Caenorhabditis elegans: one gene and its partner. The protein of the gene in region 2 interacts with the protein of the main gene of each other region in a pairwise test. Each region holds a gene or a part of one and is shown on either strand. Other genes may lie near its edges.

Evidence for each region.
Region 1: the proteins of clec-50 (region 2) and nekl-2 interact in a two-hybrid assay, tested with the Caenorhabditis elegans proteins (one large-scale study listed by BioGRID).

What each region holds. Positions count from the first base shown.
Region 1 is NC_003279.8:6,659,333-6,665,839, reverse strand, and holds nekl-2 (Serine/threonine-protein kinase nekl-2), read right to left. Parts: upstream 2,707-6,507; 5' UTR 2,635-2,706; coding exon 2,542-2,634; intron 2,366-2,541; coding exon 2,218-2,365; intron 2,171-2,217; coding exon 2,052-2,170; intron 2,007-2,051; coding exon 1,811-2,006; intron 1,767-1,810; coding exon 1,645-1,766; intron 1,554-1,644; coding exon 1,454-1,553; intron 1,408-1,453; coding exon 1,322-1,407; intron 963-1,321; coding exon 753-962; 3' UTR 680-752; downstream 1-679. Other genes in the region: ZC581.9 (Protein kinase domain-containing protein), read left to right, coding at 444-615; ZC581.7 (Tyrosine-protein kinase), read left to right, coding at 3,553-3,569, 3,618-3,693, 3,956-4,009, 4,057-4,137, 4,186-4,332, 4,385-4,722, 4,834-5,101, 5,147-5,353. UniProt on the Caenorhabditis elegans protein: Probable serine/threonine-protein kinase required for the completion of molting. May play a role in endocytosis in the hypodermis syncytium.
Region 2 is NC_003283.11:19,752,109-19,758,615, forward strand, and holds clec-50 (C-type lectin domain-containing protein), read right to left. Parts: upstream 3,261-6,507; 5' UTR 3,229-3,260; coding exon 3,134-3,228; intron 2,072-3,133; coding exon 1,677-2,071; intron 867-1,676; coding exon 663-866; intron 615-662; coding exon 343-614; 3' UTR 291-342; downstream 1-290. Other genes in the region: W04E12.9 (MFS domain-containing protein), read left to right, coding at 4,491-4,492, 5,099-5,358, 5,406-5,567, 6,091-6,198, 6,249-6,368, 6,416-6,444.

The DNA of each region.
Region 1 (6,507 bases), on a different chromosome or scaffold from region 2:
GCCTCGGCAAAACGTCGCAACTTCATAGCATACTCCTGCAACTTAATAAAAACATTTATATAACTTTGTAAAAAGCTGTTAAGAAGTTGCGAAAACCAACGGGATTGTGAGCGAAATTTAGCTTTACATCTGCTAAGAAATTGCAAAAGTCGTCTGAAAAGCTGCAGAAGTTTGCCTAAAAGCTAAAATGCCTAATTGTTGTTAAGAAGTTGCAAGAGTATGCTATGAAGTTAGGCCGTTTTGCCGAGTGGGTGGCTTTGAGGAGTACTGTAACTCTCAACTCCTTGTTGTTACGGTTTTTGCTACAATAATACCATGGTTATCCATTTCTCATAGGGACCTTAAAAAGGCAATTGCCTGTCAACTTGAATAAAACATACATGTACCGTAGGTTTAGGGCAAAAAACTTGCACTACATATGAATTAAAATCCAAATATTTCAGTTTCAAACAGAGGAATGCGCGCGCCTCAGAAAGACGAGCCCGAACCCGATCTCCGAATGCTGAACTGGATCCTCAACGTGAACAACCACCTGCTCGACCAAACTCATTTACAAATCTCGGCCACAACATTGTTCTCACCTACCGTAATCTTTTGTACAAAGATCATACCTAGCATACTTTGTTTTGTCCACTTTCTCATTTCCCGTACAGTAACATTTGTGATATTTTGCCCACTTCCGAATGATTGGTTTTTATGTGAAAAAATAACTTCAATTTTAATTTTAAAGAAACAAACAATTAATACAGGAGTTAATACTTTGAATGCACTTGACTTCTTGATTGTGTTCTCTGATTTGATGTTCTTCCACTTGAAAAGAATCCAGAATCAATATGAGATGGCATTGGTGTTAATTGTGTCAAATGGGTAGTTGGAGCATTTGATGATAAAGAATACGGACGAAGTGTTGATTGTGTTGGATACGTTCGAAGTCGACTGCTCAATGAAGCTGATGGCTTTCTCTGAAAAAAATAAAATTCATGACAAGTAATGAACATCATTTCAAAGTACGGCTGAAAAAAATCCGGATTCTGTGCGATCAAGTGATCATTTTTGATGTGTTACAGAGGTTTTTCAATAATTTTTTGGTTTTCCAGCACTATTTCAGAATGTAATTTATCTGGTATTTAATTAAGAAGATTAGAACAAAAGCATGCTTTTATATTTTCCGCTGTTTGACCTACAGAACTCGCTAGGAATTTATTTTTACTAGCATGACGTCGATGGTTTCTTTAAAACTGAATTATGATTCCCTGTTAAGGCCAGATAGTAAACATGACATTTTTCTCTAAATCAAAACACTAATACAATTAAAAATTACCTTATCCGTCGGTGGAGGTTCGATTCTTCCCAAATCGCAATGAATTGATATCAAATAGGGAAGAACAAGTGGATCGGAAAGCAGCTCTGAAAATTAATCGATTACATTTCCAAGTGTGGAAATTTTTTTTACGTGATACGTCCGGTCTCTTATCCGTGTGTGTTTTAAGTAAGTTTTCCACTAACATCTTCACATCGTTTGATACGTGATCTCCCAACGGGTTTTGCTTTGACTGGAAATTGAGTGATACATGATTAAATTTAAAAATTTAACATCAGGGAACAATGCAAGGGTTTTGGGACCTATCCTTTTTTGGTACATACCCGGGTGATTTTCATTACAATGGCTGGTAAATTTTCGCCGTCAAATGCTCTTTCAAGCTGAAGAAGCTCATACAAAACACATCCTAAAGACCACATGTCACTTTTTTGATTGTACGGGCGACCTGAATATTATATTTTCATGATTATTAAAATGAAATTGACATACTTTCACAAATTTCAGGGCTTAAATAGTTTGGAGTTCCAATAACAGTCGACGCTGCAGATTTCGTTCCAAGCTCCTTTGAAATTCCAAAATCCGATAGCTTCAGAACAGTCTTTCGGCGATTCATAAGAATGTTTTGAGGCTTAAGGTCACGATGAACGATATTTTTCTGGTGCATATGATTGAGTGCAATAAGAATCTTCAAAAATATTTGTTTCAGTAAAAAGTTAAGATGATAACTAACCTGTGTAAAATAATCTAAAACAGTTTTTTCGGGAAAATATTCTCTCATGTTTGAATCTTTAATCGCTCTCTGATCATTTATTAATCTCTCTAATGTTCCTCCTTCCGCGTACTGCATAACTGAACATATCGAATTTTAATTCAATTTTAAAATTAAATTTACTTACCAATTCCAAGTTGATTATCCATAATAAAAGAATCAATATACCCGATTATTAATGGATGTTGAACTTTTTTCAACAAATTTACTTCACTCTGAATGCTATTTTCCTCTTTTTCAGTCATTCCGTGAGTATTGATGAGTTTTATAATTACCTGAAAAATTAAATTATAAAGTTAGTAGATTATAACACAGTACTGCTATTTGAAAAAAAAACTGATTTTCCAATAAAATAAGTATTTCTAAAAATTGATTATTTTCCCTAAATTAAACCATACCAGGCTTCAAATGTAAAAGAGTCCAACGAAACTATTACAATTGTCTGACTAACCTTTTGATGTGATGCATCATTTTTACCGCGACACAGCCAACAAACTCCAAAAGCACCACGTCCGACGACACGCACTTTTTCATAATTGTCCATTTGAAAATAATATTTGAATAGATAGGATTCAAAACTATAAATTCTAGAAAAATGTGAAGACGTGACTAATCAGTGAAAAATAATCAATAACCGACGGTGTTCTTCTTCTGCGTCTCTCTGAAAGAACAGGTTTATTATCAAAGGGATTGGGGAAGTCATTGAAAAATGCCGCGCATTTTTTATATATCACTTGTCTCTTTGACAGATCCTAGTGGTTTTTCATGTGATAAGTTTAACCTGTAAAACGAACACACGAACACTGTTCGCTTTATTTTGGTTAACAATTTCAACGAAACGGCAAGAAATCAATCAAACAAATCAATTAATGTTTCTCTTCGAAGACATATTCTCTAAATTATAAAAGATTGTTTGACCTCAAAAAAATGGCATAAAAAACTCAATTCTAGAGAAATAATAGAAAACTTTGGCCACCTGGAGCAATGGATACACAGATAGAACGGCTATTTTTAATTGGCAGAAAGTTGGCAGACCGCCAGCAGTTAGTTGGGGGGACAAATATATAGCACCAGAGGTGTGCCATCTGCCATTTAACTGCAAATAAACTGCCGTTTATCTGCTTACACCACACAAATTTAAGCCTTTTTAAAAGTCATGTTGGCTATTATTATGCAGTATTCTGGTTTATTTCTAGGCAAAATTGCAGTTTTTGTAGGTAAAAACAAGCAGTCTTGGATACAAAATGATACATAAAAAATTTTTCATGCACTGACCAATTGAAAATTAGACTTGCAGGCAATACTAATAAATAGGAAAAAAAGAATTCTTTGTTTGAAAAATTGATTTTAATTTTAATAAAATGATGACAACGTGAACTCATTCCCTCCCCCCTCCACCTTTCAATAAAAAGGTTTTGAACTTCGCTCCAAGTTCAGTTCTTAGTTTTTATCCAACGCGGAAATGGCTAACAAAGAAAAGTGAGTTGAATTTAAATGCGGTTGTTGTTAAAATCTTCATGAATTCAGGATTCTTGAAGAGGACATTAACCTACCGTATTATCATGGTGCACTCATGAACCAGGATGCTGATCAGCTTCTAGTTGTAAGTGACAATTTAGAGGGCGCTTTATCCGTGGATCTTATGTCATTTCGTATCCACTGTACACATATTGACTCAATCAGTGACCACAATGGACCTATCGCGAGCACGCGCTCAACACAAACGTAACGTGATGAGCGTCTACAGCGATCTTACAAGGGTCCTGGTGAACACAATAACTGTCTAGATGGATTTCCAGATGGAATTGGTTTCAAATTTGAAGAACGTTGGATTTTTCAACATAAACGATTTTAATTTTTTTCAGAATGACGGTGACTACATGATTGTTGTAAAAATGAATCAGGAATTGAACAAAATGGTTTGCCAATTTAGTTTAAATAATCTTCAAAAGTGAATTTATTTCAGCAACTCTACTTGGCTGTTCGTTTGAAAAAAGGAATACGTCGTTTCGAAATCAAACGGAATCCGACTTCTGCAAAGATTGGGGTATGCATGCACCGTACTTCTAACTAACAAATTTAATATTGTTTTCAGGGAAAATCAGCTCCTAATATTGGGAAGCTGGTTGACTCAATGCAAAAAGAAACTATGGAAATCAAAGGAGAACGGGTGATCTTGAAACGTGCGATTCCCAAGGGAAAGTTCCAATTAATGCATAAAGATGTGGACTTTAAAAAGAAGGTATTAATTATTAATGAAAGAGGCTTCAATACCTGAAAACCTTAATTTTCAGCTTGGTAGTGGAGCCTACGGAACCGTCTATCTTGGCCGTCTCACCAAGAACAATACCAAAATTGCTGTAAAAAAACTTGACACTGAAGGAAACGACGAAGAATCATTAGCCGAGATGATGAAGGAAGCGAGAGTTATGCAACTCTATGACCATCCAAATATTGTAAAGTTCTATGGATACATTGTTGATGATATTCCATACTTGCTGGTTCTGGAGCTTTGTAACGGTGGATCGGTAGAGGATAAACTAGTGGAAAAGGGAGCCAAGTTGAGCACAAAGACAAGGATCATGTACACTTATCACGCTGCATGTGGGATAGAGTACTTGCACAAGAAGAAGTTAGTTTCTTTCTGATTTTTCACCCAAGACATGTGATATGATAGTGAGAGATTTTTTGTGGTTTTTTCCTCACTTCCAAAGAACTGGTTCACTGTAATCTACTTTTTCAGATGCATCCACCGCGACATTGCCGCTCGAAACTGTCTCATTCACAAGGAAATCGTCAAAATTGCTGACTTTGGAATGTGCCGTGCCACGTCAATCTACAAAGTCGACTTGAACAAACCAACCAATACCCGTTGGTTGGCACCAGAAGTTTGGGATAATGGAGAGACACGTGACAATACGGACATCTTCGCGTTTGCAATAACTATGTGGGAGTTCTTTGAAGTGCCATATGATTCCCCTTATAGTGAGTGGAAAGGTTATATGGTGAAGGTTAGTAATTTATATCCTATTGTTTGTCGTACCTCTGCTTTTCAGCAAAAAACTCGGGCTGGCTATCGGCTTCCGACTCCAAAAGGAATGCCATGGGATATTGAAGAAATAATGAAACTGTGCTGGCACGTGGATCCAAATCAACGCCCGACGGCTTCCGAATTGAGAGAGAAGATTGAGGAGACAATGGCCAAACCCGAATCATCAGCAACTCCTTTGAATAAGAGCAAGAGTCAAACTAGCAATCATTAGAGATCTCCTTACCAGTGAATGTTTGAATGAAAGTGTTTTGAAAACTGCATGTTTTTTGTGTATTATGTGTATTTGAGTGTTGTGAACAAGAAGCTAACTTAAATGTACAACAGTTTTTGAGCATGGTGCAAATGCGCTCTATTGGACACAACTTTTCAGCGGTAATTCAAATTCGAGCTTTTTTAGCGTTTCACACGGCCTCCTGCGCGTGAAATGCGCCAATCGCACGAAGAAAGCGACGCGCTATGACTTCTCTGCGTCTTCACTCTCTCGCGCGTGACGATAGAGCTCATTTGAAGTGCATGTTTCAAAGACGGGAGACAGTGCAAATTTTAAAATAAAAATAAGAAAAATGAAATGATACGGTTTTTTCCAGCATTTTGACTACCCAACGAAATTTTACGGCTCTGAAGAAATTTTTATTTGGGAATTATTTCCCTTATACTGAGCAGCTCTGAAATTTTTTCTACTTTTTTTGTCGTTTTTATATGAAGTCAATATCAAGGAACATTATTCAATAACAAAAAATATCAAAAAAAAATCTTGCTTTTTAACATAGTATGCCCGTTTTTGGCAGGACGATGCGGCTGGTATGGGTCAAGAGAGAAAAAAGTAAAAATCTTTTCTCACCGATTTTTAGAGAATTTTGAGCTTATTGCTTATTTTATTTTGACCACAAACATTAATATCTGTTCAAATCTGACGTAGTTTTCTAAGTTTGAAATTTTCAACTGAAAAGTGCAAATTTTGACAGTTTTTGACATACCGTATCCAATAGGAAATATTTATCCAAAATCCGTGGTCACCAAAAGTTTTAAAAAATATTTGTGCATCTTTTGGGCTAAAATTTGTACGTGTTGGTAAAAAATTGAGAGAGGAGTCCCAAAAAAAACCAAACCTAATTCTAACTTTTTATACTGTATTTTCCCTTTAGTGAGCGAAAACTATGAAAGATATGAAAAACGTTTTAACTGCAAAATTAAAGATGGTAATATAGCCAACATTTTCTCAGTTGATCATTTTTTTGTAAGTGTACCCATTGAAAAGTTATAACAGTGGTAAAGTACAAGGAATGGATTTTATTGAAAAACCGGATGCTTGTTTTTTAAGTGCGTATATCTTGTTAACAAATGAAATAATCAAAAAGGTGTCAA
Region 2 (6,507 bases):
ATTTCCGGCAAATCGGCAATTGCCGAAAATTTTTGCAAATAGTGGTTTTGCACATTTTTTTTTTGGAAATTTCGGAATTTCAACTTTAATCGGCAAAGTTGTTCGCATCCCTTTTGAAAAGTCTGCAATTTCTATCGGCAAATCGGCAAATTGCCGGAATTGAAAATTTCCGGCAAATCCGCAAACCGGCAATTTGCCGGAATTGTCGACAAAAAAATTTGCCACCCTGGATCAAAACCCCTGGATCAACTGTCAAGCCGAATGATAATCCTTTCATTAACAAAACATTCTTAAGTGATGAAACCAATTTATTAAATAGTATACATATCAATATATATATATCTATGCATGAATAGATCCCTTCTTGCAGATATAAGCTCTCATCTCGGTGCTGCACGCCTCGTTATTCCAGTTCTCATACCACTTATCGTGGGAAAGATCCGGCGCTGTCTCCACACAATTTTCCTTTCCCGGATTGTCAGGCTGCTTTGGTGCCCAGTTGATGTAGTTTGATGGGGTACCGTCAGTCCATACCCAGTCCTGACCGACCTTGTGCATACCGATCCACGCGAGATCCTTCGGGTTTCCTTCCTTGATTCCACACGAGGCAAGGTCTGAAGATTATTGGTGTTGAGGTGGTACAGGTAGTTGTGGAGACTTACTAGCAACGAAGGTGTTCTCGGTTTCCGAGTGAACTGAGGTCAAGTGAGCTCCAAGGAGCACACACGCAGCCTCTGCGTCCTCCCACTTGGCGTTATGGTAGACACGATAGCAGAAGTCGGTTGGTGCAAAGTAGGTCCATCCTTGGTCGCAAGACGGCACGCAGGTCTTGACAGGGCACGGAGCTGGCGTAGGGCAGGTAGTTGCTAAAAAAGTTCTTAGTTCTCATAGATCTCAGTAGGGCTCCCAGCTCGGCGAGGCGCGAAATGCGGGCCTCTGTGTGTGTGCGAAAGGCAGTTGTTTGGAGCGGCCGACACGTTCGGAATTCGGCAGCTTGGCGTGAAACGAGTAGCTGGGTGTGTGCGCAAGGTTGTGCGGAGAGGTAGTTATTTGGAGCGACCGACACATTCGGGGTTCCGCGCCGCACTAAACATTCGGATACGTGCGGCGACCGCTGAGGCCGACGTGCGGCATCTCATGGGAGCCCTAGTTTTCAGTTTCCTTATGTAGATCTCAGTTTCCTAAATTTTCCGTTTCCTTAAATCTCAATTCCCTTAGATCTCAGTTCTCTTAGATCTCAATTCACTTAGATCTCAATTCCCTTAGATCTCAATTCCCTTAGATCTCGATTCCCTTAGATCTCAATTCCCTTAGATCTCGATTCCCTTAGATCTCAATTCCCTTAGATCTCGATTCCCTTAGATCTCAATTCCCTTAGATCTCGATTCCCTTAGATCTCAATTCCCTTAGATCTCGATTCCCTTAGATCTCAATTCCCTTAGATCTCGATTCCCTTAGATCTCAATTCCCTTAGATCTCGATTCCCTTAGATCTCAATTCCCTTAGATCTCGATTCCCTTAGATCTCAGTTCCCCCAATTCCCTGTGGCCTCCTGTAGTCTCTAGGGGTTTTACTTCAGTTTTCATGTACTTTGGATAATTTTATAAAAATTTTACAAGACCTCTACCTACAAAATACATAGAACCACCGCTATTAAAATTAATATCAACACTTACGAATCGGTGTAGTGATTGGTGGACACGTGGCAGTCATAATAACAGGTGTGACACATACATATGGCCTGTAGGAAGTACATCCAATAGCCGACCAGGTTCCATCTCCCTTATCCTGAATTGCACAGTCACTTCCGGATTGGGGTTCACCCAATTGCCAGTTGGAATAGTCGAATGTCACTGATGGATCTGTCCATTTCCAGGTGCCGGATGTCTCGAGATCATTGGCTCCGATCCAGTAATCGGAATAGTTGGATCTCTTGAATGAATTGGCTGCGTTTGACTGAAGAAGTGCGTTTTCTTGTCCATTCTGAACGGAAGCAAGGTGGCCGCCAAGGAGATTACATTGCTCTTCAGCGAACTCGAATTGAGCCGGTGCAGTGAAGTATTGGTAGCATCTGGAATTTGGATACTAGATCAGTGATAGGATATATAATATTCTCAGTGAACAGGTCCCTTTCGTAAATTGAAAAAGGAAAATTTCCCGGAAAATCGTCTCTACTACTGTCCTGAACCTGTATAGATCATTTCGGGCAAAATTCAGAATAAGCCAGTGAAACAAAACAAAATCTCTGACTATAATAGACCACTTTGGTTAAAATATATATATATATATTTATATATATATATATATATACATGCATATATGTACATGTATTTTCTGCTCAACGCTTTTAGTACTAATTTCAGGTCTCAATTTTTATCACACAGTTTTTGTTTTAATTTTTTTCTGATTTTGTCACTAACTATTATGTTTTTTTATCATTTCGCCATTAGTGATAACGTTAAAGAATGGTGCCATATAGTTAAGAAGTGATGGGAAGAAAAACCAAATGTTCAATGCCGTTTTTTTTAGTGTAATGTATTTTTATGATGTTTTGAGATTTTGCAAATGATTTGGGACGTATTCAAATAATTTCAGATTTTTTCGAAAATTTTTCTGAAACTCTCCAAAAACGTTGAAAGTGCTTTAGTTTGTCATTTTATAATTTTCAAACATAAATTTTACGTTTTTTTTAGGGAGTAGCTTAAATCTGAAAAGGTAACTGGTACATGTGTATTTCATGACACAGAAAACACTGTAGACACGTTAAAATTTTGAATTCAAAACGTTGATCAATAAAACAAGTGGTAATCATTTGCAAAGTTTCAGAAAATTTTTCCAAAAAAATTTTTTTGACTGAAAAATTTCAAAACAGTTCACATGATTTTGAAAAAATTTTTTTTTTGAAAATGCCTCCAATTGTTCTTATAATTACAAAAACAACATTAGTACTACATATCTATGCACTTACGAGCCTACGTACTTATGTAGTACCTATGTACCTACGTACCTACTTACATACGTGCCTACGTACCCATTATACAGAACGTACCCGTACTATTAGGAGCTACGTACCTACGTACCTGCGTATCTACGAACCTATCTAGTACCTACTCATCCATAATACGGAACATACCTATTAAAATGCGCATTATAAATACCACCAGTGTTACATGTCTGTGCAGCAGTTGCTCCGAAAAGAGCCAACGTCAAAAGTAGTAACCGAGCCATGTCGATTGTCCAGTCCGACTGACTGATTCTGCACCTTGAAGCGGGCACACGGGCGGAGTCATTTTACAGGGAGCAAGAAAGAATAGAGTCTCCACCTAACAGAAGGGAATAAAAAGTTAATGGGCAAAATGTGCGAGAAGCATGGCAGGGGTAATGCGATAAAGGTGTCCGGGTTGTGTGATAAGAAAATAAATTGTTATACTTTTCAGTTTCAATGATGGTGTTTAGTTAGGGGGGACAGGAGGAAAATGGTAAAATTTTGGTTCGCAGAGCAGAAGAAAACACGTAACAAGCATAGAACAAATTAGGGCTTCTGAATATTTTTTTGGGGAGAGCTTTCTCTGAAAAAATATTTTTGATGATCCCTCCAAAAAAATTAACTAAAATGTTTGCTCAGAAAATTTAAATTTCCCGCCAAAATTTTTTGTTGAAATTTTGATTTTCCCGCCAAAATAATTTCTCCGAAAATTTGTATTTCCCGCTAAAATGATTTCTCCGAAAATTTAAATTTCCCGCCAAAATATTCACTCAAAAAATTTGAATTTCCCGCCAAAATATTCACTCAAAAAATTTGAATTTCCCGCCAAAATAATTTCTCCGAAAATTTAAATTTCCCGCCAAAATATTCACTCAAAAAATTTGAATTTCCCGCCAAAATAATTTCTCCGAAAATTTAAATTTCCCGCCAAAATATTCACTCAAAAAATTTGAATTTCCCGCCAAAATATTCACTCGAAAAATTTGAATTTCCCGCCAAAATATTCACTCGAAAAATTTGAATTTCCCGCCAAAATATTCACTCGAAAAATTTGAATTTCCCGCCAAAATATTCACTCGAAAAATTTGAATTTCCCGCCAAAATAATTTCTCCGAAAATTTGAATATTCCGCCAAAAATATTTTCTCAGAAAAATTGAATTTCCCGCCAACATTTTTTTCTCAAAAAATTTAAAACTTGTTTTTTTCAGATAATTTAAATTTCCCGGCATTTTTTATATACATATGTATACTGATTTTCTGAAAAGTACAGCGCCCGACTACGGGTTACTGTAATTCCTGGCCATCAAGTACAACTATCCTATGATCTTCCCCTCCAGCTCACTAAAGTCTCTCTAACGTCATTTTCCATTTCTCAAGGGGTCTTACCATGCGTTATTTACCTTCTTTGCCCTCTCTCTTTCTCTATTTTTACGACCACCCGTCTTCCCATAACTTATATATATATTTGCACTTGTTCGTACAAAGCAACACCACAACAATAATATGTAGGTTTTTAATTTTATATACTAAAATTGTTTCTATAATGCTTATTTTGGCTGTAAAAAATAATTTTTACAGCAAATTTTCGGAAACAAAAACACGAAAACCATTCAAGTGAGGTGTCGATGCACCAAGTGGGTTTTTGTTAATCATTACGTTTTTAAATTAAAATATAGCATAGAATTTCAAAAAAAAAAAGAATCTGGTTCACTCACTTTGACAGCTTGATATCTTCGTTCAATTTTACGTTATTAATAGGAAATTTACTGCGAAGCTATAGAAAAACATACGATAAGTATTTTGTTAGTTGACAAATTTTTGATAAAACTAAATACAACCGAGATATGACTTGTCAAAGTTGGGTGAGATGTCGATGCACCATGTCGAAAACTAGTCCCGGCCTCATATATCTGTTTATGTTGACCACATTAAAATGTTAAAAGTTAAAAACTAAAAAAGTTTTATTATGATATTCGGTCATTTTGGGACTATAGGAGTGGTTCTTAACAATTTCCCCACTGGCGCTACTCATCAAAGTTCAGTGGGGTGAAGCCAGTTGATGCACCATGTTTGGAACTAGCTCATATCTGGATGTGCTAAATAAATTTCAGGACCATCCCGAAAACTGTGCTCAGCAGCAAAAAAGATGCTTCTCTTCCTTTACCCCCAACTCCACCTTCAAAAGAGCCTGGATCTTCGTGGGGTCTACTCAAAGATCCCGTCTTCATACTTCTCAGTGCTTCCCACTACATATCAATTATTGGGTTCTGTATTCCCCTGATGCTTTTCGCGGATTTCACAGGAGGCTTCACCTATATTCTAATGCGAGTTGTATTTCTGTTTGGAATGCTTACCGCGGGCTTGTACATTGGTAGTTGGAATGTGACGTTGAAAATTGCTCTTTTTATGGAATTTCAGGAAGCACATACTTGAGCCCGCTTGTTGAAGGTGGGAATATCCGGAATTTGATCCTGATCACCCTGTCGCAAATGATCGCAGGACTTTTGACGATTGCTATTCCCAATATTCATCAACCAGGAATCAATTTTGTGTTCTACCTGTTCCTTGGAATAGTATTCGGTAAGTCCGGAAATCGAATTCTAAGCCGAAGCCTAATACTAGGCATAAATCTAGTCCTAAGCCTAAGCCTGAGACAAAACCAAAGCCTAAATTAAAACCTAAGCCTAAGTCTAAAGCCTAAGCCTAAGCCTAAGCCTAATGAAAAAAACGCTATAAACCCAAGCCTAAATAGCGTGGGTTTATAGAGTTTTGACGCTCGCCGCTGACGCTCGCCACTGACGCCAAGCCTAAGCCTAAGCAAAAGCCTAGGCCTAAGATAAAGCCTAGGCCTAAGCTAAAGCCATAGCGCAAGCCTAAACCTAATCTACGGCCTAAGCCTAGGCCGAAGCCTAGACCAAAGCCTAAGCCCACGTCTAAGCCTAAGCCTAAGCAAAAGCCTAGGCCTAAGCTAAAGCCTAGGCCTAAGCCATAGCCTAGGCCTTAGCCATAGCCTAGGCCTAAACCTAATCTATGACCTAAGCCTAAGCCTAAATATATGCCTAAGCCTAAGCCTAAGCCTAACAATAATACCTTCAGATTTCAGGCCAGAGCTTCACCCTCCCACACTTTGTGACTTTTGCTTCTGAACAATCCCAAAACTTTCTCCTAGCAATCAAACTTTCGGCGATTCTAGTCGGTATGCCGTGTGCAGGTTTGAAAAGTTTTCCTAAGCCAGAGCATCACAAAAATCCGAAATTTTAGCATTTTTCTACTTGAAATTCGATAACTTCGAGGCCACCTACTATTTTGGAGGATCGTTGTTGGTTTTTGCTGCACTGATCTCAGCTCTAGTCCCGTTCATAGTTTTGTGGAGGGAAAAAGGTATGCACTTCTAATAGTGAGTTTTCTAAAAAGGGTTTTATTTTCAGATTCTGCGGTCAAGAAGCTTGCTGAATAGTGAACATGGAATTTTATGTTGAAATTGTTTAATAAATCTGTATTATATTTTCTATGAACTAAT